Oreochromis niloticus: one gene and its partner. The protein of the gene in region 1 interacts with the protein of each later gene in a pairwise test. Links are inferred from orthologs where the notes say so. Each region holds a gene or a part of one and is shown on either strand. Other genes may lie near its edges.

Region 1 (10,630 bases):
GTATAATATATATATATATATATATATATATATATATATGTGTGTGTGTGTGTGTGTATATATGTATATGTGTATGTATATATGTATATATTTGTGTGTGTGTGTGTGTGTGTGTGTTTATACTTTCTCTCTATACTCAAGCTTTGCATATAATTAATTTTGCCAAAAAACAAACAAACAAAAAAGGACAAAATATGCAAATTAAAAAAGTAACATACTACTTTCCTTAATTGCATGTTTTAAGGTCAGTAGTATACAAAAGTCTTGGACCATCCCTAGGAAAGCTTCAACAACCCTGAAAATCAACATTTGTATATATTGACTTTAAACTGACTGGGTGACTTTATACTGACTGGTCCCTTGGAGGCCAATCCATAACTGATACTCTTTACTTGTGTGTTTTTTCTGTCCAGGTATGCTTTTACTGTATTGGCATGTGTATGGAATTATTGCCATGCTTAAAACTGAAGCCACTGTCAATCAGACACTTACCAGATGGTATTGCATGGTGTCTTAAAATTTGTCTGCACTTTTCTGCTTTGCAAATTTCATCAATTTTGACAGTATCTTCAACTTCACTGGCTGAAGAGCCATGTCATCTACCCTGTGTTCTACAGATGACTGTAGACACTCACTGTTGTACCTCTATCCTGACTTCATTTGTACAAACCGATAACGATTTGAACCAGAAATTTAAAATTTTGATTCATGACTCCATACGACCTGTTACCACTGATTTTCAGTCCAATTCTTGTGTAATTTGGCATACCTTTTCTTCTTGTTCCCCTTCCTTGGGAATAGCTTCTTGACAGCTACCCTTTCATTTCCAAGCACATAAGTTTTCAATAGTTTTCATATGCTGTGAACAATTCTTTTGGCCTGCCACTTATTTATCCTCCACTTGTTCAGTTTTCGTCAGATTTTTTTTTAAGGGCACACCATACCAAGATATACCAGGTCTCTTTGGGTTAGTGCAAATATACTACCTTACACCTGTGTGTTACTTTTGGTATTTTTTTATAGATTTAACCAAACAAATGGGGAAAAAAATAATGTGCTAGGTGTTTGTTATATGTATACACAACAATGGTTCATCCCTTGAGTTAGGTGCCTTTTTATGCTTGAATGATTCATGGTTCATTAACAAATGGCTTAACAAAAAACTAACAAAAAAAGCCCAAAACAAAACATAAAAAAAATCCTCTGAAAATGGTGCGGTATAAGGACTGGACTGAACATAAGTGAAAAACTAGCCAATGTCCAAATAAAAGTGTTGCCCAGCAGCATGCTTTGGAGACTTAAACTTAAAAGCTGGCAGCTAGCTAGAGAGCTATGATGGCTATAACAACAGGAATGATATGTTTGTGTTATATTTTCAAGAACTTAAAATTAGAAATCATCTTAAAAAACAATCCTGAGGAATTATTTGAGAACATTTACAGCCTCATTGTGATGGAATGGTGACCTGTCCAGGGTGTACCCTGCCAAAGCTGGGATAGGCTTCTGTCCTCTGTGACCCTAGATTGGATAAGTGGATGAAAATGGACAGATGGAATATCCTGCACCTCTTTTGTCATGATTCCAAGGTCTAAAACCTGCAATGCATTTTTTATATGAAAAAACAGAATTTAAGTTAATATCTCTATTTTACTTTTATCCATTTTAGAATAATAGTGTCTAGTTCTACAAGCACCTAAACAAATAGATTCTAACAACGGCAGCAACGATCTTATAGTGCTGACATGTTCAATCAAAGATAATTTTAGTTACTTATCACCAGGTGGCAGTAAAGGTCAGTATATGATCAACAAATATTGATGCGGGACTGAAGTGAAAATTTCACTCTTCCCTTACATGGAAATATGTTGACCAGTTTTTAATAAATGTAATTACTCAGACTTCAAATCTTTAAAAATGTAGTTTTTATTTATAAATGAGGATAAAGGACTCACGCTAACAAACAAATTGACTTGATTAGCAGAATTTAAAAAAAACAATTGGGATTTTATTTTTACATTAAAACACAGTTTCCATGTAAGTTACTTACCAGCTTGACAGTCAAACTTACCAGGAGACTATTGAAAAGAATGTGTAGCCAGCTTTCTGTTGTTTTGCCAAATACAGGAAGCAGTTAACATGTCTGCACAGCTTTTTGATTGCAATGTTCCACTAAAAGTGTTTTCTTTTAGGATAATAGTGATTATGGGAGGATCCCAAGAGTAAATGAAGCTCCCTTTCAGTGACTCATTTCCGCAGCCTGCTATATTTCAATCGAACAACGACTGACCAGCCGTTTTCTAGTAGAATTCTAGGGTGGGTCCTCATCTGACCTCTGACCTTTACAACAAAGCTTTTTAGGTTAAAAGCACAACTCAGTTTGGACCTTTGTGGTGCCGGTAAACAATAAAACATTTCTAGACCTTTTGCTGTTTAGGAGGGGTGTGCTAAACCGGAGCTAGCTATCATTTCACTTTAGATTGGACAGGAAGTAGTTGTTTTTACTGATGCTGTTCCAGAGTTTGCACAATCGTAGAGTCAACACCATGTCCATAGTCTTTTACTTTGGGAAATTTGCCTGCAAGAACTTTCAATATTTTATTTCTTGGGAAATAAATTCCCATTCTTTGCTGAAATGATTAGCTTCTGTATGATTTTACTGTTTGCTTAGCAGCAATGTTTTTTTTCCCCCCGACATTCCACACTGCTTTCAACTCCATAATGCTCTCAGTACAAAACAGGCAAAACAGGAAGTTGGACATGCACTTCCCTAAAGGTTGTCTACACTCTTAACTGTTTGCTCCCCAACTTGTACCCCAGAGAGGAATAAAAGCTGAAAATAGCAAACCACATTTCACATAAAAGGTCACTATTGCCCTTATTTTAAATGCTATAAAGTTCAAAGCATGAAGTGTGAAAATCCCCCGCCTTTCAGTTTTATTACAGAAGTAGGGTGACACATGGATGTCAGATCTACAGTAAAGTGCAGCTCCTTTCTGGTGGCATTTAAGAAGCGTTAGAACAGAGATATGGGTTTTACCACCCAGTCACAACAGCCTCGAGTTGTCTATGAGAATACTTTCTCCTATCACCCCGAGCCATCTGGAGTCTAGCAGTCTATCTGGGAAACCATGAGAAGGGTGCCATCGTGCATGTAGGGGGGTAGGAAGTGAATGCAATGTGCACCAACCCTTCAGGAAAGCTTCATCTCTGCATGCCAGTTTGAACATCCTCTGGGCTCTCTCAGTCAACTCCACAGGAAGTAGTGGATGACTTGTGTCATGTCAGTGCTGATTTTGTATTCTCTCTTGTGTTTCTCATCTGTCATGAATTTGTTCATGTGCTTTGTGTTCATGCAACGTGGCAATCTGGAAGGATTCAAATATTATCACTACACATGTATTCATGGGTAGCATTGATTGTGAGCCTCAATATTTCCTTTGTTTGATTGTTTCAGAGAGGAGAAAGTTAAAATACCAAAAACTAAAAAAGACTATTACAAACCACCACCATTTAGCACAGTCAGTGCTAAATGAAACTGTTGATATGTGGCACCGTAAATTGGCACTCAGTCAATAAAACTTTAGCTATTTAATTCATTATTTGATTATTTGACATCATTGAAAGCTCAAGAATAGTGCAAATCATTTGATTACAATACCAAGGGAAAATTGCATTGTTCATATGGGTGAAATACTTACTTGATCCCCTGCTGAATTTGTAAGTTTGCTCACTTCCAAAGAAATGATCAGTCTTTATTTTTTATGGTAGCTTTATTTTAATGGAGAGAGACAGAATGTCGACCAAACATCCAGAAAGAAAGAAAAACTTGACTTAATACTTGGTGGAGAAATTGTTGTTGCAAACAGCACTAAGATATTTCTTGTAGTTGGTCAGGTTTGCACACATCTGAGGAGGGATTTTGGCCCACTAGTCTTTACATAAACTATCTAAATACTTTAGGTTTCGTTGCTGCTGCTTAGAAACTTTAAACTTCAGGTCTTTCCACAGAATTTCTATAGGATTGAGGCCTAAAGACTAGCTAGACCACTCAAAGATGTTAACATGCTTCTTCTTTAGCCACTCCTTCATTACCTTGGTGATCTCTTTGGGTCATTGTCATGCTGGAAGACACATCCACAGCATATCTTCTGTGTTCCGGCTGAGGAAAGGAGGTTGTTGTCCAGGATTTTATAGTACATGCTCCTATACATTTGCTCCTCAATGCAGTGAAGTTGCCTTGTACCCTTAGCAGAAAAATAAACCCAATGCATAATGTTTCCACCTCCATGCCTGACTGTGACGATGGTGTTCTTTGGGTCATACTCACTTCTCTTCCTACAAACATGGCTGGTTGACTTGATGCCAAAGAGCTTGATTTTGTTTCATTTGACCACAGCTCTTTCTCCCAAGACTTCTCTTGCGGGTGAAAGATTTCAATCCATTATAGTGTAGTGTGTTGACAATGGTGTTCTGACTGTGGTCCCGACTTGCTTCCGATCATTAACAATCTCCTCGCGTGTAGTTTTTGGCTGATCCACAACCTTTATCATGATCATCCTCACCCCTTGAGGCAAGATCTTGCATGGAGCTCCAGATCGATGCTCATTTTATATTTCTTCCATTTCTGAATAGTCACATCAACAGTTGTTATCTACTCACCAAGCTTCTTGCTGATGGTCATGTGGCTCATTTCAGCCTAATGCAGGACTAAATTTTTGTCCCTGACATCCTTTGCCAGATTTTTGGTCTTGGAATGGAAAAAAAAATGATTCAGTGGATAGTTGTGCTTTGTATACATAATAAGTTGAGATCAGGATTATCTGTAATTGATTGACTGATTGTAGTTTATGTGCCACATGGCAAGCAGTCAATCTGTGGGAACCAACCTGGATTTTTGTTCTATATTCTGTCTCTCTATCAAAATGAAACTGCCACAAACATTAGAGACTGTTCATTTCTTTGTAAGTGAGCAAACTTACAAAATCTACAGGGGATAAAATAATGATTTCCCGCACTGTATATAAGCAAGAGGGATTAACTGCATGACATTTTTATTTAGTGAAGATTAAAGTCACTATAGTCAAAATGGTCCCTTCATTGTGTTATTGTGTTGTACAAAATCTGAACGTGTTTCTCATCTGAAGGATTTGTAGTTTGAGTTTTATCTCTGTCAAGCTGCTCTGCTTTCTGCGTAGCTGGCACACAACAGCCATGCTCACCTTGCTCCTGGGCTTTCTCAGCTTGGTATCAATCCAGTGAGTCTACTCAGCTCTCCAACTGTGTGGCCCAAGGATGCTTTCAGCCTTCATCTTAGAGTTCGCCTGTGATCTTTTTCTGTTACATTTGGCTGCAGAACTGATTCTGGGTGCTGGAGTTTAGGTGCTTTATCTTCCCTGTCCAGTCAGACTGCTGTCGGTGTCCCTCCCTCCTACAGGCGGCCCTGAGGCACTGGCAGTAGATAAGAGAAGGGCCCACAGCAGCTCTGGTTTGAAAAGGAAAAGCCATGAGGACACCAACTATGTAGAAATATCAATGCATTAATTCCCCACAGAGGCAGCTTTCACAAGCTCTTTTTTTTTGGATTATTTCTAAGCACAGCTTAATCATATCTTCCTCCAGCTTCACAATTTCTCTGAGCTTTGTGTAAAGAATCAGCAAGTACACATATCAGAATTTTACTGTTGACATAATTGTTAAAACGTCAGATGGAAATATTAACATTAAAGTAATTACTAGTGAGTTAACTGGTGGATGGACTGCTACTTATATAGTGCTTCATACAAGCACTTTTTTTTCTACACTTAAGTGCTTTTCCTCACTTTTCGAGAGCAACTTCGGGTTCAGGATCTTGCCCAAGGATAATCTGGCATGCAGACCGGAGCAGCCAGGGATCGGACCAATTAGTAGGTGACCTGCTGTACCTCCTAAACTACAGCCACGCCAATTAACCTAAAAATTATTAGTTTAGAAGATATGTGATGCAAAGTTATTGCTCAAACTGTCTGAAAATACTCTTGTGCATAATCAGTGATCTAAGATTACATTACAGAGAAGTTACGCAACAAAAATAAAAATAAAAAGTAAGGGACTTCCCTGGTTGTCTGAAAAGGCCCTGGCAATTGTGTTTTCAGCTGTGTGTTTATGTAGGACCTCTAAAATATAAAATCACATTTTAGGAAGTAAAATGAAGTCCTTGGAATTTTTTTCTAAGTATAATATAATAAATCCACTGAATTCAAGTTCACATTACTTAACGCAGTGATAACCATCATCGTCTGAACCCTTACAGAAAGTGACCGTCAGAACCTTTTAGAACCGGCAACACCTGGGGCATAATTATGAGAGAAAACACAAATACTCCTCCCCAAAGAATTAGACCGTGCCACTCTTTATCTTTCGTCTTATCTGCACTCTGGCGAAGCAAAGCATAATAATCATTAGCCTCAGTCACGACCCACTCCACGCCTGACAGAGCAAGGCCGTGTTAAGCTGTCGCTTTAAGACCGATTTCCCCCCATTGTCAAACAGTCGTGAGCAGGAAGAGGGAAACGAAAGCACAGCCTGACTAGCGAGAGAGAGGGGGTGTGAGGAGGGGAAGGGCGCGCGGGGAGGGGTGGGGGGGGTGTATTTAAAACACGATGCTGCTGCTACTGCACAATAACGGTGCCCGCGGCTTCATGTGGGTTCGCACGCCTATGAAAAGGCACGAACACGGAGAGCCACGTAAGTGACCTTCTGATCGCATCACACGGCGTGTGCATTTTAATAAAGAGCGGACAGGCAGCAAAGTCCCTGCGGGGTGAGGAGACACACTTGGAAAAAAAGACGCGAAGTCTCTCCGCGGGTCACTGCCTCAGGAAATGATGACAGTGTCCTCCATCACGGCTTAGCCGCTTAAAGCGAACACTTCTCGTCTTGCGGCCATTTCGTCTGGACTCAGCTGCCTTCGATTGAACACGTTTGAAAGCCTGACGCGGGCTGCTGGTGGTGCTGGTGGTGCCCCAGAGGTGGAGCAGGTGCAGCGCCCGCACGCAGCTTCGCCTCGCGGGTCCCCACTGAGCTTGCTGGCCAGTGGACCAGGCTGGACATCATCTTTGAAGAATGACATCCACGATAGAGAGGAAGACGCTGGAGGCCAGCGAGTAAGTAGCAATGAATGATGTTAAATAATGTCATTTCTGATTCAAGTAAAAGTATCCGTGACGCATCAGCACTCACGGGACAGCCACAACTCTCCGGTGAGACAGCTGCAGAAAGCTGGTAGCATAAGGTCTGAAGTCTCCTGCTGTTAGATTAAAAATGTCAAAGTTTAAGAACAGAGTGATGTGTTAATGTTAATAGAATAGAATAGAATAGAATAGAATAATCCTTTAATTGTCCCACAAGGGGAAATTTGGTTGTAACAGCAGCCAAAAAGACACATATACAAACAAACAGTACACAGGACACAGAACAGAAACATACACAATTTTTCTTACATATTTACATTAAGGACAATGGTTACTATATACAGAGAGTACTGTACAGTTATTAAATTAAATATAAATAACTATAGATAAGAGGCAAACCAGGTTGTAGTGCGAATCGGTTAATCGGTCTTGCGAGGAAAAAGTTAAGAAAAAGTGGAGCGCTAAGGCACTCCTAGCGTAAATCGACATTTAAAAAAAACAACCCAATATTGTGTGACATACTTTTTATTAGTTAGCGGTTTAATATCCAATGGCTCCCTCAGGTGGACGGGAATAAAACACATCTGCGCACACAGCTCCAGCTCAGAGACCGATCAAAGCTGAAATCATTAGAAAAGATATACATGTGTTTGTGTAGCACTTATTAGATACAACACAGTGTGAATATTGATGCAGAACACTAACTGTGCCTTTAGATCAGGAAATGTTTGTTTATTGCATAATAATAGCAAAATATCAACAGGTCACCAGTAAGTATGTGTCAGAGCTAGAACAGTTCTATTCCAGTATTTGATTCATCAGTTAGCAAACTGTTTGGGAGACCTGCATGTCACACTGACTAACTAACCAATCACACAACTGAGGGAAACCTTTGCAGATTAACTGATGAAGGAAACAAAAATTTGATGCTGCCCTAAATCCTTATTGCTTTTTTTTCTTTTTCCAGGGAACCGGTGGATGAGGTCCTCCAGATGCCTCCATCTCTGCTGACATGCGGTGGATGTCAGCAGAGCATTGGTGACAGATTCTTCCTGAAGGCCATCGAGCAGTACTGGCACGAGGACTGCCTGAGCTGTGATCTGTGTGGCTGTCGGTTGGGGGAGGTGGGCCGCCGGCTCTACTACAAGCTGGGAAGAAAACTGTGTCGGAGAGATTACCTCAGGTTGGTTCAGTTGGTGTAATGTAGTGATATTATGAATTAATCAATTAGGTCGTCACCCTTTTAGTTAAATTACACACAGAAAAAGAAGCACTTTTTGAGATGCACTAGTATGTATATCTTTTATCACACCTTAAAGGCTCATGGAGAAACACTTTGAGCAAGTATAGAAATTTCTAACCTATTTCTACCTGTAACTTTTTTACTGAAGAAAGTGTGGACAAGTTGAAATAGATTCAGGAGAAGAAGGCAGGTCTTTGTTAAAGAACTAATGTTAAAATTTGATATGATATGTAGCTGTGTGGTGCACAGCCACATATCAGGTAAACACATTTACCTAACCTATCTCTGCCTGAGATACAAACTCAGGCAGATGCACTGGGGTACTCCTCTCAAATATGTAGTATCAATCAGTGGCCGAACCTGTATGATCGGACCTGGCTTGTGAATGCCCTGCATCACCACTTTAAGGATATGTGTTGCTTTAATGACAATGCATTTCCGCTTTATTTATTGCAAAATGAAGTTTGTGTTGCTCAGTGGTTTTCAAACTGTGTGCTGGGTCCCCCTGCTGGCGTGTAGTGCCACTGCATGAGGGGGTGTGGATGACTTGGTGAAAAATATGGACCGAAAGTAAAGCAAATCTGTAGAACTTATGTGTAAAATAAACAAACAAGAAGCAGGTAATGCAGTCCTTCTATACTTTTGCACCATTTCCCAGAAATTCAGCTCTGATCCATTTATTATTGCTAATAATTGCTAAAAATCGTGGGTGGTTGTGTGACATTTTCAGCTTCTGAAGAAGAGCAGGATAGAAAAAGTCTGTGAAGCACTGGTGATGGCTAATTTCCTCTCTAACAGCTCAATCCCTCAGGCTCAGGGGAAAGATCCAGAGTACCTTAATGGAGATACTGTCAGTCTCTCTTACAGCTTCACATCATTAAGAGCGAGTAAATGTTTTCCATCTTCCTCCCAGTAACATGTTGATGCCCTCTCATCCACTCAGGCTTTTTGGCCAGGACGGTCTCTGCGCTTCCTGTGAAAAGAGGATCCGAGCATTCGAGATGACGATGCGTGTGCGGGACAAGGTTTACCATCTGGAGTGCTTCAAGTGCGCTGCCTGCCAGAAGCACTTCTGCGTGGGTGATCGTTACCTTCTCATCAACTCAGACATTGTGTGCGAGCAGGACATCTTTGAGTGGACCAAGCTCAACAATAATAATATGGTTTAGGAGGATGTCTTCTTTCCCCTTGATTCAAAGGGAATGGACTACTGATAGACATTTCGTATTTCCAATGCAGGCTTTATAATGCATTTGAAACCAATATGGGATCATAAAAAAAAAACAAAAAGCAAACGAGGGGCTACGTCTCTGCATGTCTCCCTGATGGGGACTAATGAAGACTGCACCAGCAATAACAGAGAGCTTTTTTTATTGAAAGCAAAAAAAATAAATGCTCCAATACTGACAATGTTTAAAAATGCAATATTGGTCATTTGTTGTACACTGGAACTTTAGAACAAAAACAAGATAAAAATTATTTGTCCAGTTTCTTGCAGTCTTTACACTGAGAAGATCAGCAGCTTGGTTTTATGGATTTGTAATTTCTTAATACTTTCCCAGCGCTAATTATTTTTTAACTTTGTTAAAAGAATGTGTCTCTCTCTAAATCTAAACATACATTAACTGAATGCTTGTTCATTGTAACTGTAATATGTTAAAGCAGTGGTTGTCGGGCTTTATTTTGCATGCCTCCAGTAAGAAGCTGAGAAGAGATCACCCACCTTATCACTTCCACTAACATATATTTCTTCATATTTTTATGAAACATTAACGAAACAAGCATCGAAGCTGAATTTAAATCAAATTCAAGTCATCATTATAGCGTACCAATTCATTCAACTTAAATTTAGTTGATATTTTTCCACACACAACCGAGGTCCACTTGACAGTTTGTAAAACACTCTCTTAAAGTGATTGTTTGCCTGTGGACAGATTTAAAATGCTCAAATGGCCTGCTGCATTGGCTGTTTCACTAGAAATGAGGTGGAATGAATGAAGTGGATGTATGCTGTGATCGTTTCTGAAAGTTTTCATGAAAATTTGTGAGAATTTATTAGGAAATTACAGACCTGTGATTAAAGCATTACCTGATTTTCATATTATGAAAAACAACATCCACTTATTTAACAAAAAAAAAAAAAAGTTCTGATGAGAATGATTATGTATTGCCAGGTTGAACTGGTGGCGCCCTCTACTGGTCAAGGAACCCATGCAAT
Region 2 (10,349 bases), on another chromosome or scaffold:
AGTTCTATTTTTTTAAAAGAAAAAAAAAACAATTTCTAGTCTATCAAGGGAGCCATTACCGCAAACCATCTGCTTATGCTTTGTGCGGTCCGAGTTAGCAACAAGTTGAAGTCATGAAATGAAAACCAAATGTCCCATGTGTTAGTGGAGCAGGCTACAGTGGGACAGCAGCGTGCTCCTCCTCCCACCAGCACTTGAGCCCAACAGGTGCTCCGAGGGCTCAGCCAGAAGCCAAGTATTCCCTGGAACTCAGAGGTTTAGCTGGGAACATGCAGGCTCACGTGCTGGAGGAGAACAGCACCTGAGCAGCCACCGAGGAGAGAGAGACTCCACCACACCAGGGAGAAGCAATAACTCACTGCACACCGTAACATGGTGCATGTGTGTGTTTGCGACTGAACGCTGACCTTTAGCACAATCGGCCCAATGAATGGCCACACCGCGATCCCATCTGAAAAAGCTTCCTGCTGCATTGAAGACTTTCTCCTTTTTATACCATAATACCATAGAGCAGTTTATTATTCTAACAGGCCCAGCACATGCAGTGTTGAGCAAAACAAGCGCATAGCAAACTTTTTATGAGCCAAGTGGAAACAGTCACTTACAGCCAAGCCATGGCTAATTTATTACTTCAAGCTTAAGCTTTATTACCAAAGCCTCGGATTTGCTGATGGCTGAAAGGGGCACTGCACCTTTAGCTGATTTGCACCTCGAGCAGATTTGGGACAAATGGAAACTCAGAAGTGAGGCCGTTTTCTGTGTCATGCAAAAGGAACTTGCACATCTCCGAGTATCTGTACTTCATTTGACCCATAATCCTATTTCAGTGTCCTCCCAGTCATTATCTGATATTTCCACAAAGTTTTTTTTCTTTGATTTATTCAGCTTTTTATGTTATTTCAGTTGTCCCCAGATATCTGTCATTAACCTCAGTCCTTTCCTCCCTCACTCACTCACTGCTCCGTCTCCCACAGAAGGTGGAAAGCCCCACTTCGGGGAGATTGAAATTCTAATCAAGTCTTTGGTTTCCTTTTGGATGACTCATTTTTCCCATGCAATGTTTTAGTGGATTTCACATTATGGCTTATTTTTGCCAAGGGTCTGAAAGGTAATTTTATCTGATATTTCCACAAAGTTTTTTTTTTCTTTTTGATTTTATTTCAGCTTTCCCTATTTATAGTTTGACCTTTCAGCATTTGTCCCCAGCCAGATATCTGTCCAGCGTTTCCACACAATCTATAAGGAGGAAACCTCAGTAGCCCTTTTCCTCCCCTCACTCACTCACTGCTCCGTCTCCCCCACAGAAGGTGGAAAGCCCCACTTCGAGGGGAGATTTGAAATTCTAATCAAGTCTTTGGTTTCCTTTTGGATGACCTCATTTTTCCCATTGCAATGGTTTTAGGTGGATTTCACATTATGGCTTATTTTTGCCAAGGGTCTGAAAGGTAATTTGTTCCATGTTGGTGAGTGGAAGGGGATTGCTTGTATAATTAAAATGAGATACAGTCACAAATTGATTTGACCACCACTCTCGACTCCCCCGTCCATTTTTAGATGATAGGGTTTAAGACTGAGTATCAGGATGCTGACACAAGCTTAATGTATTAACTGTTTGACACGGCACAGGTTATGTCAATAAGCTTCTCCAGAGTTTAATTTCTACTAGTAAAAAAATCAAGGTGTATAGTTTTCCATGCCAAACAAAGCAATACTCTATATTTTAAACACTGTATAAGTAATTAAAACGACTTCTGATGTTATTTCTAAAGATTTTGTAAAATAGCACACTGCTCTAAGGTCAGAGCATGCTTATTTTGAGTTTTATTGGGAGAGGCTGTCATTAACACGTCTGCAAAAGTGTATTTATAGTCACACTTAAAAAAAACCTGGATAACAAAATGATGCCCGCCTGACTCCATTCTCGCATTATCACCCAATTAATTTGAACATATGGGTTTCAAAGGAGGGATTAGGGATTAAAGTTGTCCAAAATGCCCGAAGACAGACATTTGAATAGTTGCTGCTGCCTCGCCCAGACGCTATCGACCACACCTCAGCTCCTGACACGCGTTCAGCCTCCGGTGTCTGGAATCCTCTCCATGACACGGAAGCTCCCGGAATGAAGCTCTAAGGAATCACCTCTCTTTGCTCTTTTGCCCAGAGGATACTTGTGATGTCAGTCTCTCCACAGCTTTGTGGACGTAAACAAAGGAAACAGAAAGCACAAGTCAGCAGGTGCTAGCCAGCTGCTGCGGTGTCTAAATCTCATAAAGCAGAACAGAAATTGCATTAGCTGGAGTTCTCTTATTATTTTCCTGAAATTGCCGCATCTGGGATGTGAATTTGCATCATGCTCTAATGGAAAAGTTTGATTTCCCCTCCCCAGTTAGCTGAGGGTTTAGTGTACCAAATTCAAACGTTGCTTTTCATCAGAAACAAGTCCATATCTACATCGGACTGCAGATATCAGCTATGGCAGTGTGGAGGAAACAATGCAATGAATGACGACACCCCCTCCCCTTCCCCCCCACTCTCCTCCTACTGGATTGAAGATGAGGAAGCAAAAATGGTAAAGGCGTGGGAGTTCGATGGAGCGATGCTGTTTCTTTGGAAGCAGACCAAAGACCTCTGTCTCTGTTTGTACAGATGACATCATCTTTCTACTATCCCATATATCAGACACTGCTGTCCTCAGAGCTGGTCCTCATTTTTTTTCTACTGACCTAACACTGAGTCAATGATTGGCTTGAAATTTCACTGAGGCTGCACGCTCCAATGAGCTAGTCAAGGCCAGTCAGTAGACTCTTAAACTGTTATTGTGTTACAGGTCGCCCCTCAGTTCAAATATGTCTTTATCTAATTTCCTCAGCGGCACTATTCACACTGGCCTTGTGATGCACCAGGAAAAAGAAAAGGAAAGGAAGCTCCAAATTCCTGTTCTCACTCAGTTTTGTTTCATCTGCTCATAAATGGGTCAAAGCTTTGAATTGCATCGCATTGCATTCGCAGTAGTGTCTAGCAAAGCAGTCTGGGTGCATGCGTCGCATTAAAGAGTGTGTGAGAGGTTTCTGTTTAACTTCCTAACTAAGCACGGAAAAAAGCCAAACTTGACTTTTTTCCCCAAACACTCCCACCTTCCAAAAAGCGGCGAATGCAAAACTCATTAGATTCAGCAGGAATGAAAATGAACTACACAGCAGAAATACCAAGGTGACAGACATTATGTTTCTGCGTACTGCAACATGCCCAGCTCTCCTTAAAATTACATAATGGAAAGGAAGAGAAGACTGCTAATTAATGCATGTGGCACCTTCTGTTAATTTAAACAATCTGTGAGTAAGTAAGCTGTTTGGGAAGAAAGTGCTGCCAGTGTGTTCATGTCTCGTATTATCACCTACATTATGGCCCACGGCGTGAGACCAGTGATGTGTCCTGGGCACCTGGCCATCACTGATCCCACTCCTTAGACCTCTGTTTGTTTTGGGAGCTCTGACTACCTCTGACCAGTGGATAAACCCCGAGCTGTGTATTTTGAATGTCAGAAGCACTTTGTGGGACCTGTGAAATGGATTTGATTCAGGGCTTATGCTGGAACCAGCAGAGGTTCTGCTCAGCGTCACAGCATTGCACAAACACCTGTTGATTTCAGAATCACTACACCGTGCGCTAACCGGCCTCTGACCGTGAGTGGGCACCAATCCAACTGCTCCACTTAGGCTTTCTCTGGAGAATCTGCAGCTCAGCGGGCTTCTGCTTCTGATTTCTGGAACAATCAATGGGCCATAGTTTATACAGGAAATACCAATATGGATGAACGAGGGAATTAGATCATAACGCGGAGCTACTTGAAGGAAATAGCGGGGAGCGGGGGGGGGGGGATAGAAGTGAGTGACAGTGGAAGAAAAAATATTGGGGATCTCACGGCCAGAAAAATGGAAATGAGGTATTGGAGTTGGCAATAAATAGCAGATTTAACAGCCTGAGAATTTTCCTCGCTTAGGAATGTGTCAGACTAAGGCTGGGGTTCCCATGGATTTGGTGTGAGGTATGCATGAGGAATTGTGCTCATTCCAATTAGACTGTTTACTTTGCCCTTTCCTCTGCGCGACGCCACGGAGCGTCTGCGCGTAAAAAGCCGCACAGAGAAGAATGGACTTTCACACCAACCGGAAAAAAATATTTGTCTTTCACTTTTCCCCCCCTTGTAACCTCGCGTAATGATTAGGTTTGACATCGTGGCAAAGATAAAAAGCGTTTGCGTTTGGGATTGAGTGTGGTCATCAACTCTTCTTTAAAGTTCAAAATAAACCACAATTACTCACCTGCACCTAGAACAGGAAGAGTTTCTACTTTATTGGCTTATAAAAGAAAAATGGGAACATTCATAACCCAAAAACAGTACACTCACTGTTTTCTTGTGGCCCATTGATCATGTTGAACTTGTAAATCTCTTTGGCGTAGTACTCTGTCTCCGTGTTATCCTGTCCGCAACTCTGCTGCCGGTCTTTCCCCAGCTCCTCAATGAGCTCCTTGGTGCTGTTATAAAGTGCCAGAACCTGAAACGGTACTTGACTTGGACCTGTTGTTTGAGGCGGACTGGTCAGTCGGAGTTTACTGAGAATCTGTCCCCGGACGGCCTCCACTCTCTTTTTCTTTATGTGTTTGATGTCCACTGTGGTGCAAGTGGATAGCAAGAAAGTCACTGTCACACAGTTTGAGAGGAGGAAAAACAGAAGTGCTTTGCCCAGATTCATATTTCAATCTGCGTTCGCTCACAGCCGAAGCCTTGTCAAGTAATATTAGAAGAAGGAGAAGAAAAAAAATATCCCTTTTTATCTTTTCATTCAGGTCGCGAGTGAGTACTGTTCCTGGAGGAATCCCATTTTCTCGAGTGCTATGTCATCTTTGCCAAATGCGTATTTGCATGGGAGCGAATCCGCGCAATTGTGCAAAAAGGTCTCGACTCTTCAACAAAACTCTTAATTACACTCTTCATTCCCTCTTGTCTCATTCAGGCATCTCTCCCCCTCTCTTTTTCTTTGTAGTTTACAGGGGCCCGATCTCTGCACCGCCGTTTAGTTGCTCCATTGCATTTGGTCTTTCCATCCACTTGTGCAAATATGTATAAGGAGTCAGTGCGTCTTTGTTGTCTTCTTGCAGTCCAACCTCAAACACACTAAAGACGCTTTCCACGCTCACTCATACTTTATACCCACCATCGGTGACGTTTCTGAGGGAGGGGCCGCGAGCTATAGACCGAGCGCGGACAATGTGCTCGGTCCCACTCCGTAGTAAGATAAATAAGACTTTGAATTTCATGCTGCCAAACAGTGTTTGAATCATACGCAGCGTAATATTGGGCAATAAGATTTCGCAAGAGAGAAGGGTTGCAATAGTTTGTCAAGTAAATAGCTGCATTTTATGGATGTGGCTGAAATTAAGTCACGTTCTGTTGTGTGCCCCACGCGCGCTCCTAGCAGTTTAAAAATCTAAACCTGGAGAGGTTTACGTGCTGAATATTTTTTAATCGTGGGCAAAATAAAGTGCTAATGAAGTAAAGTTCAAAGTTAACATGCAGAACTTCTGAGGGTGCGCAAGCCAGCAGCACGCGGTCCTCTGCAGGCTGCTACCGTTCAGCGCCTCCCCAGTATCATAATGAAAGGAGACAGCGACATCTCGCGGACCACGCAGGGAATTGAAGGTACAATTTGATTTCATCTTTATTTTTTGCCTGCTTTCTCAAATTAGATATTTTGCGCTGAGAACAAGAGTATCACTTTATCCATTTAGAAAACAACAACAACAAAACAAAGAAACAAACAACATAAATATAAAATAAAAAGCGACAACAATACCTCCTGTTTTTCTTCAGTAATGTAATTTTTACTCTTAAAAAATGAATTCATATTATGAGTTTAAAAAAAATATATATGTATATTTTTGCCTGTTTGTTTGTATTTCTGGACGTAATTATCCAAGGATTTTTTTTTTTTTTTTTGGACACACCATAATTATCTGTTGATTCACCATTAAATCAGAAAGAAAAATGGGGCAGATGTTCGGAGTAGGCGTCTTATTTATTCAACAGTAATGTCTGGGGAGCTCCAGTAGAACAAGGAAACATTGATATCATTACCTAATATTCGTACTCACATACAAACGAGCAGCATGGGCGCTATAGCAGATTCCCTATCAATATCAATACACGCATCTATTTATTTGTTTGTTTACTTACTAACGATATTTGGGGCGGTCCAAAGGCACTTTCCTCCTGACTTGCGTTACCATGGAGAGCGTTGCTGTGTGACGCCTGGTGGTATCCAGGAAGAAGGTGAACTAGCTGGTAGGAGAAAAAAATGGACGATAATTTCCAACAAGGCAATGGTGGAATGGCAAGAAATGTAAGTAGGTTGTTATATCATTAAAATGCACATGGCAAGGTAATGGGAGGAAAGTAGCATTAATTCTGAGCTATTCTGGATGAGTTGAGGGCACTGTATAACGGTGCAGCGATGCTAGTTAGCTAATTAGCTTTCTGTTTCGCTAATGCGAGCTTCAGTAATAGCCAGTCAGTAAATGATATGCCAGTTTAACCTATCAGTTACCTGCTCATTATCATCGTCATTCGCTGTTTTTGAGCACTGGCAGCGGGAAGGTTTATCTGCATATTCAGCTAACTTTAACTTCTGGGTTAGCCACAGATGATGCTAGCTGTAATTTCCCCCACAAGCATAGCTGAGTGTTTTGGTAGCTTCGTGTAAACTCTGACCTGGTTCTGTGTCTGGCATTACTCCCTCAGAAAACGTACAGGAAACATGCATACTGTGGTCCCACTGCTACCAACTTTCTCCATAAAAGGCAAGAATGCCTGCTGTCCTGATAATGTTTCGGGGATACAGTCATCTCTTTTTGTTGGTGCTTGTGGTTCACACACGTTCACATTTCTATAGACTACACAGAAAACATGACTTCAAATCTGAAATAAGACCAACCACTTTTAGTTGGCAAAAAGACAATGTCTCATTCGATTTATACTAGGTGTCTTTGAACTAATGTAGATATTGATAAGTTTTTGTTGATAGTAAATCCAATTTTTTATTAATCATATAGGTGGTATTCTTTGTGAATCTACTTTTTTTTATTCCTCCAACATGTAAGCTTCATGGGTCACTCCATGGAAAATGGGTGCCTCCCTCCTGAACCCCTCAGAATCAGATGTTTTGTTTTTGTTTTAATAACTTTATTTATTGAAGCCATGCAAAATTCTGCTTATATGCTGTAAATGTTTTCCAAGTTACAGGTCCTTGAAGTACAAAGGTGTGGGTTGAGATTTGACGTTTTTTTATTTCCTAATTTTTTTCTAGCAGTTTGAGCCATCATACTCTGTTACATATCTGAAGCTAGCCACTTACGATTTTCATGGCTGAAAAACAATTTTAAAAACTGTAGCCACATCACTTGTACCCATTCCAAGTTTCACAATCTAAAACCAAAATCTTGTTTTTGTTCTGCAGCTATGCAAACCACACCCGTTCATAGTTGTCTTTCACTCAGTATTGTCATGGTTTTAATTTCTTGAACAGATTAAACAGGGGTGTTAAGAAATGATTATATTGAAACCGAAGAATTATGGCTAGAAGATGAGCCTGGTATCAGAATGTAGGTAAAAAAAAAAAAAAAAATCTATCTTTGTTTCTGTTACTTTACATCATAGACATTACATTGATGGAGTTTTGCTATTTAAACAGTGATCTGTGGAAAGATATTGATGCTCAAAGTTGTAGAAATCATGTCATGCTGAACCAAAATAACATTTTGGTTTCCAATTGTAACATTTGGAGTGGGCGCTGTTTTTAAAAGAGCTTAAAGGTACAGTGTTTTAAAATCTCACCACTAGATATTAGTAGATTGCAAATTGGTACATAATCCACTATCAAGAGGGAAGGTGTGATTTTTTTAAGGACACTTGAGCCTAACATTAGCTGACATAATGTTAGCTTATATCCAGCTGTTGTTGTTGTTTAGCTGGCTTGTTGTCAGCTGTCTGGAGCAATGACTGTAGAAAACAGTTTTCTACAGTCATCGGTCTGAAGATGGGAGGGTCACATGTCTAATCTTCTGATAGTAAGTAATTGCGACAATATTAGGAATAAATTGGCATGTTTTCATGTGTTAGAGGATCAGGCTTGAGGTGAGGAGGAAGAAGGGGAAATAAGGTAGAAGAGATGGCACTGATGACGGGAAAAGACATAATGACAAAGATATAAAAAATATACATGTGAAAATGTTAAATGGCCACATATAATTTGAACGATCTATTTTTGATCTTTAAATTAAAAGTGTCTTATATGGTGTTTTCATTTTGGCCACTCTCCTGCAACATACATAAAAAGCAATTAGGCGGAAGTGCGATGTCCATCTTGGCCACTGTATTCAAGATGGTGGGGCAACGTGGCAACTTCCACAAACCTAATTATTTTAGTTTATGAAAACACACCAATTTGTTGGAAGGCACGGATACACACTATTCAGTGTATATTTATATGTACTACATTGTCTTTTTTCTGTAATCTCAAAAAATTACTTACTGTATTTTTTTTTTTTTTTATTCCTGAAAATTTCTTGTGCATCTCTTGTACTTAAGAAGTCATGAGGGCTGAATAAACCAAATCTAAAAGCACCAAATTTTGACCTTCTCCTGCTTTCTTGCTCCTAGGGCCTGTAAAATGTTCATAGTGGTGTAGTACTTCTAGCTGCTCGGTTATTCCCAGTGGGTACTACAGCGAATGGATCCACATATGGGATATGGCACAGAGTTTACAAAAAACGGTCCTTTCTGACACAACCCTCCTATTTATCCTTATCTTATGACTGTCTGAGGCTGGGTTGTGTCTTTTCCCAGGATGTTAGGGGAATGTTGAAAACACTACACCACTGACCCACCGGACGTTTTCATAGTATGGAGGTAAAAGTTTTCATGGCTTCGTAAAATATTCTGAAGTTATTGTGAAAAAAACAAGCAAACAGCTATTTCAGATTTTTGACATCATTTCAAATCTTTAAAATCTCTACATGTGTGCATGAGTGGAAAACAAATGACTCAGGTGTACAAAAGCTCCACTTCCATGAGTTTGATGTCATTGTTTAGCAATGTGCAGCTGTTGGAAAAAAGAAAACATGCCAGGAATTGATAAGGTTGGATGCAGAAGTTTCCAGAGAATTAGACCGTTTGGAACCTCCTTTTAACTGGAACCTGTTCTTGATTCCCATCCCATTTTCAGAAAACATTTAATGTGACAGTTAAAGGAAATTAAAACCACAAATTATTTTGTAAACCACAAATAACTGTGCCAATGTCTGTCACATACAGTGGTTTTACATGTTGAAATTACACACATTTCCCAGGTTGCCAAGTCTGGACGAAGAGCTCGCCCTGCGGCACACCAGTCATCGTTTGAAGAGACTCGTCACATAAGGAAGTCCTCCACCTCTGCTTCAGCAGGAGAGGTATGCAATCATGTGATAATAAACCTCTGCATGTTATAACATTCATTTACAAGGTCATAAATATGCATTTTGGTCTTGTCTCATACATGAATTACAGGATGATGATGAGGTAGGTAGCATGAACTAAGCGATGACTTTGCATGGCTTCTAGTCCTAATGCTCAGCTTATCAACTTTATACCATTTCCGGTTATCTTACATTTCTTTTATCATGAAGTTGTTTACTTCAGTTCATCTGATTAGATTTGATAGGACTTAAATTACAGCTCACCTCGAAGAGCCAGCTTGACACACATGGTATAAAGTTTGATTGGAGTGCATAATGCAGGTGATGAGATGTTTGAGTTGCTGTTTTTCTACTTTAGCAGGTTTTAAAGTGCTCCAGAAAACTCAGAATAGCTGCTCTTTATTTGTTGGCCTGTATATGTTGGATCTTATGTGTTGCATTAAGGGTTTGAAGTGTTACTTCATATAAACTCTAAATCCATTTAACCTTGTGAGTCACAAAACATTGTAGTCGTCTTCAGTTGGCTTATTTAGTATCTACCAGCAACTGATAAATCCTCTCTTTCTACAAGTGCCTTTTTTACATGAATCACTTCAAGTCATGGCACAGTTTTCATTGTAAAGTTTGCTTCTTGTTGCCCTTGAATCATGTTGCATGTAATCATAAGAAGACAGATCATAAGTGACAGTTGAAATACAACAAATCACTTCACTGTCGTTGGCATTTATAGGATCGGTCACATCTCCTGGATTGGCAAACTGTAAACCAGCCAGCATTCCCAGAGCAAATATTCCAGCAATGCTCTTGCTTTAGGCTAATCTTCCCAAATTAGGCCA

Evidence for each region.
Region 2: the proteins of lmo2 (region 1) and ift43 interact in binary tests that used the Homo sapiens proteins (3 or more experiments, as listed by UniProt). The two-hybrid records come from large-scale screens. The link is inferred for Oreochromis niloticus from reciprocal best matches to the Homo sapiens genes LMO2 and IFT43.

The regions. Positions count from the first base shown.
Region 1 is NC_031972.2:49,578,403-49,589,032, reverse strand, and holds the start of lmo2 (rhombotin-2), read left to right. Parts: upstream 1-6,649; 5' UTR 6,650-7,101; coding exon 7,102-7,142; intron 7,143-8,136; coding exon 8,137-8,352; intron 8,353-9,355; coding exon 9,356-9,581; 3' UTR 9,582-10,630. UniProt on the Homo sapiens protein: Acts with TAL1/SCL to regulate red blood cell development. Also acts with LDB1 to maintain erythroid precursors in an immature state.
Region 2 is NC_031983.2:10,402,136-10,412,484, reverse strand, and holds the start of ift43 (intraflagellar transport protein 43 homolog), read left to right. Parts: upstream 1-6,246; 5' UTR 6,247-6,356; coding exon 6,357-6,401; intron 6,402-6,799; exon of another isoform or gene 6,800-6,858; intron 6,859-8,902; exon of another isoform or gene 8,903-8,959; coding exon of another isoform or gene 8,960-8,965; intron 8,966-9,405; coding exon 9,406-9,507; intron 9,508-9,604; coding exon 9,605-9,616; intron 9,617-10,349. Other genes in the region: tgfb3 (transforming growth factor beta-3 proprotein), read right to left, coding at 4,409-4,754. UniProt on the Homo sapiens protein: As a component of IFT complex A (IFT-A), a complex required for retrograde ciliary transport and entry into cilia of G protein-coupled receptors (GPCRs), it is involved in ciliogenesis.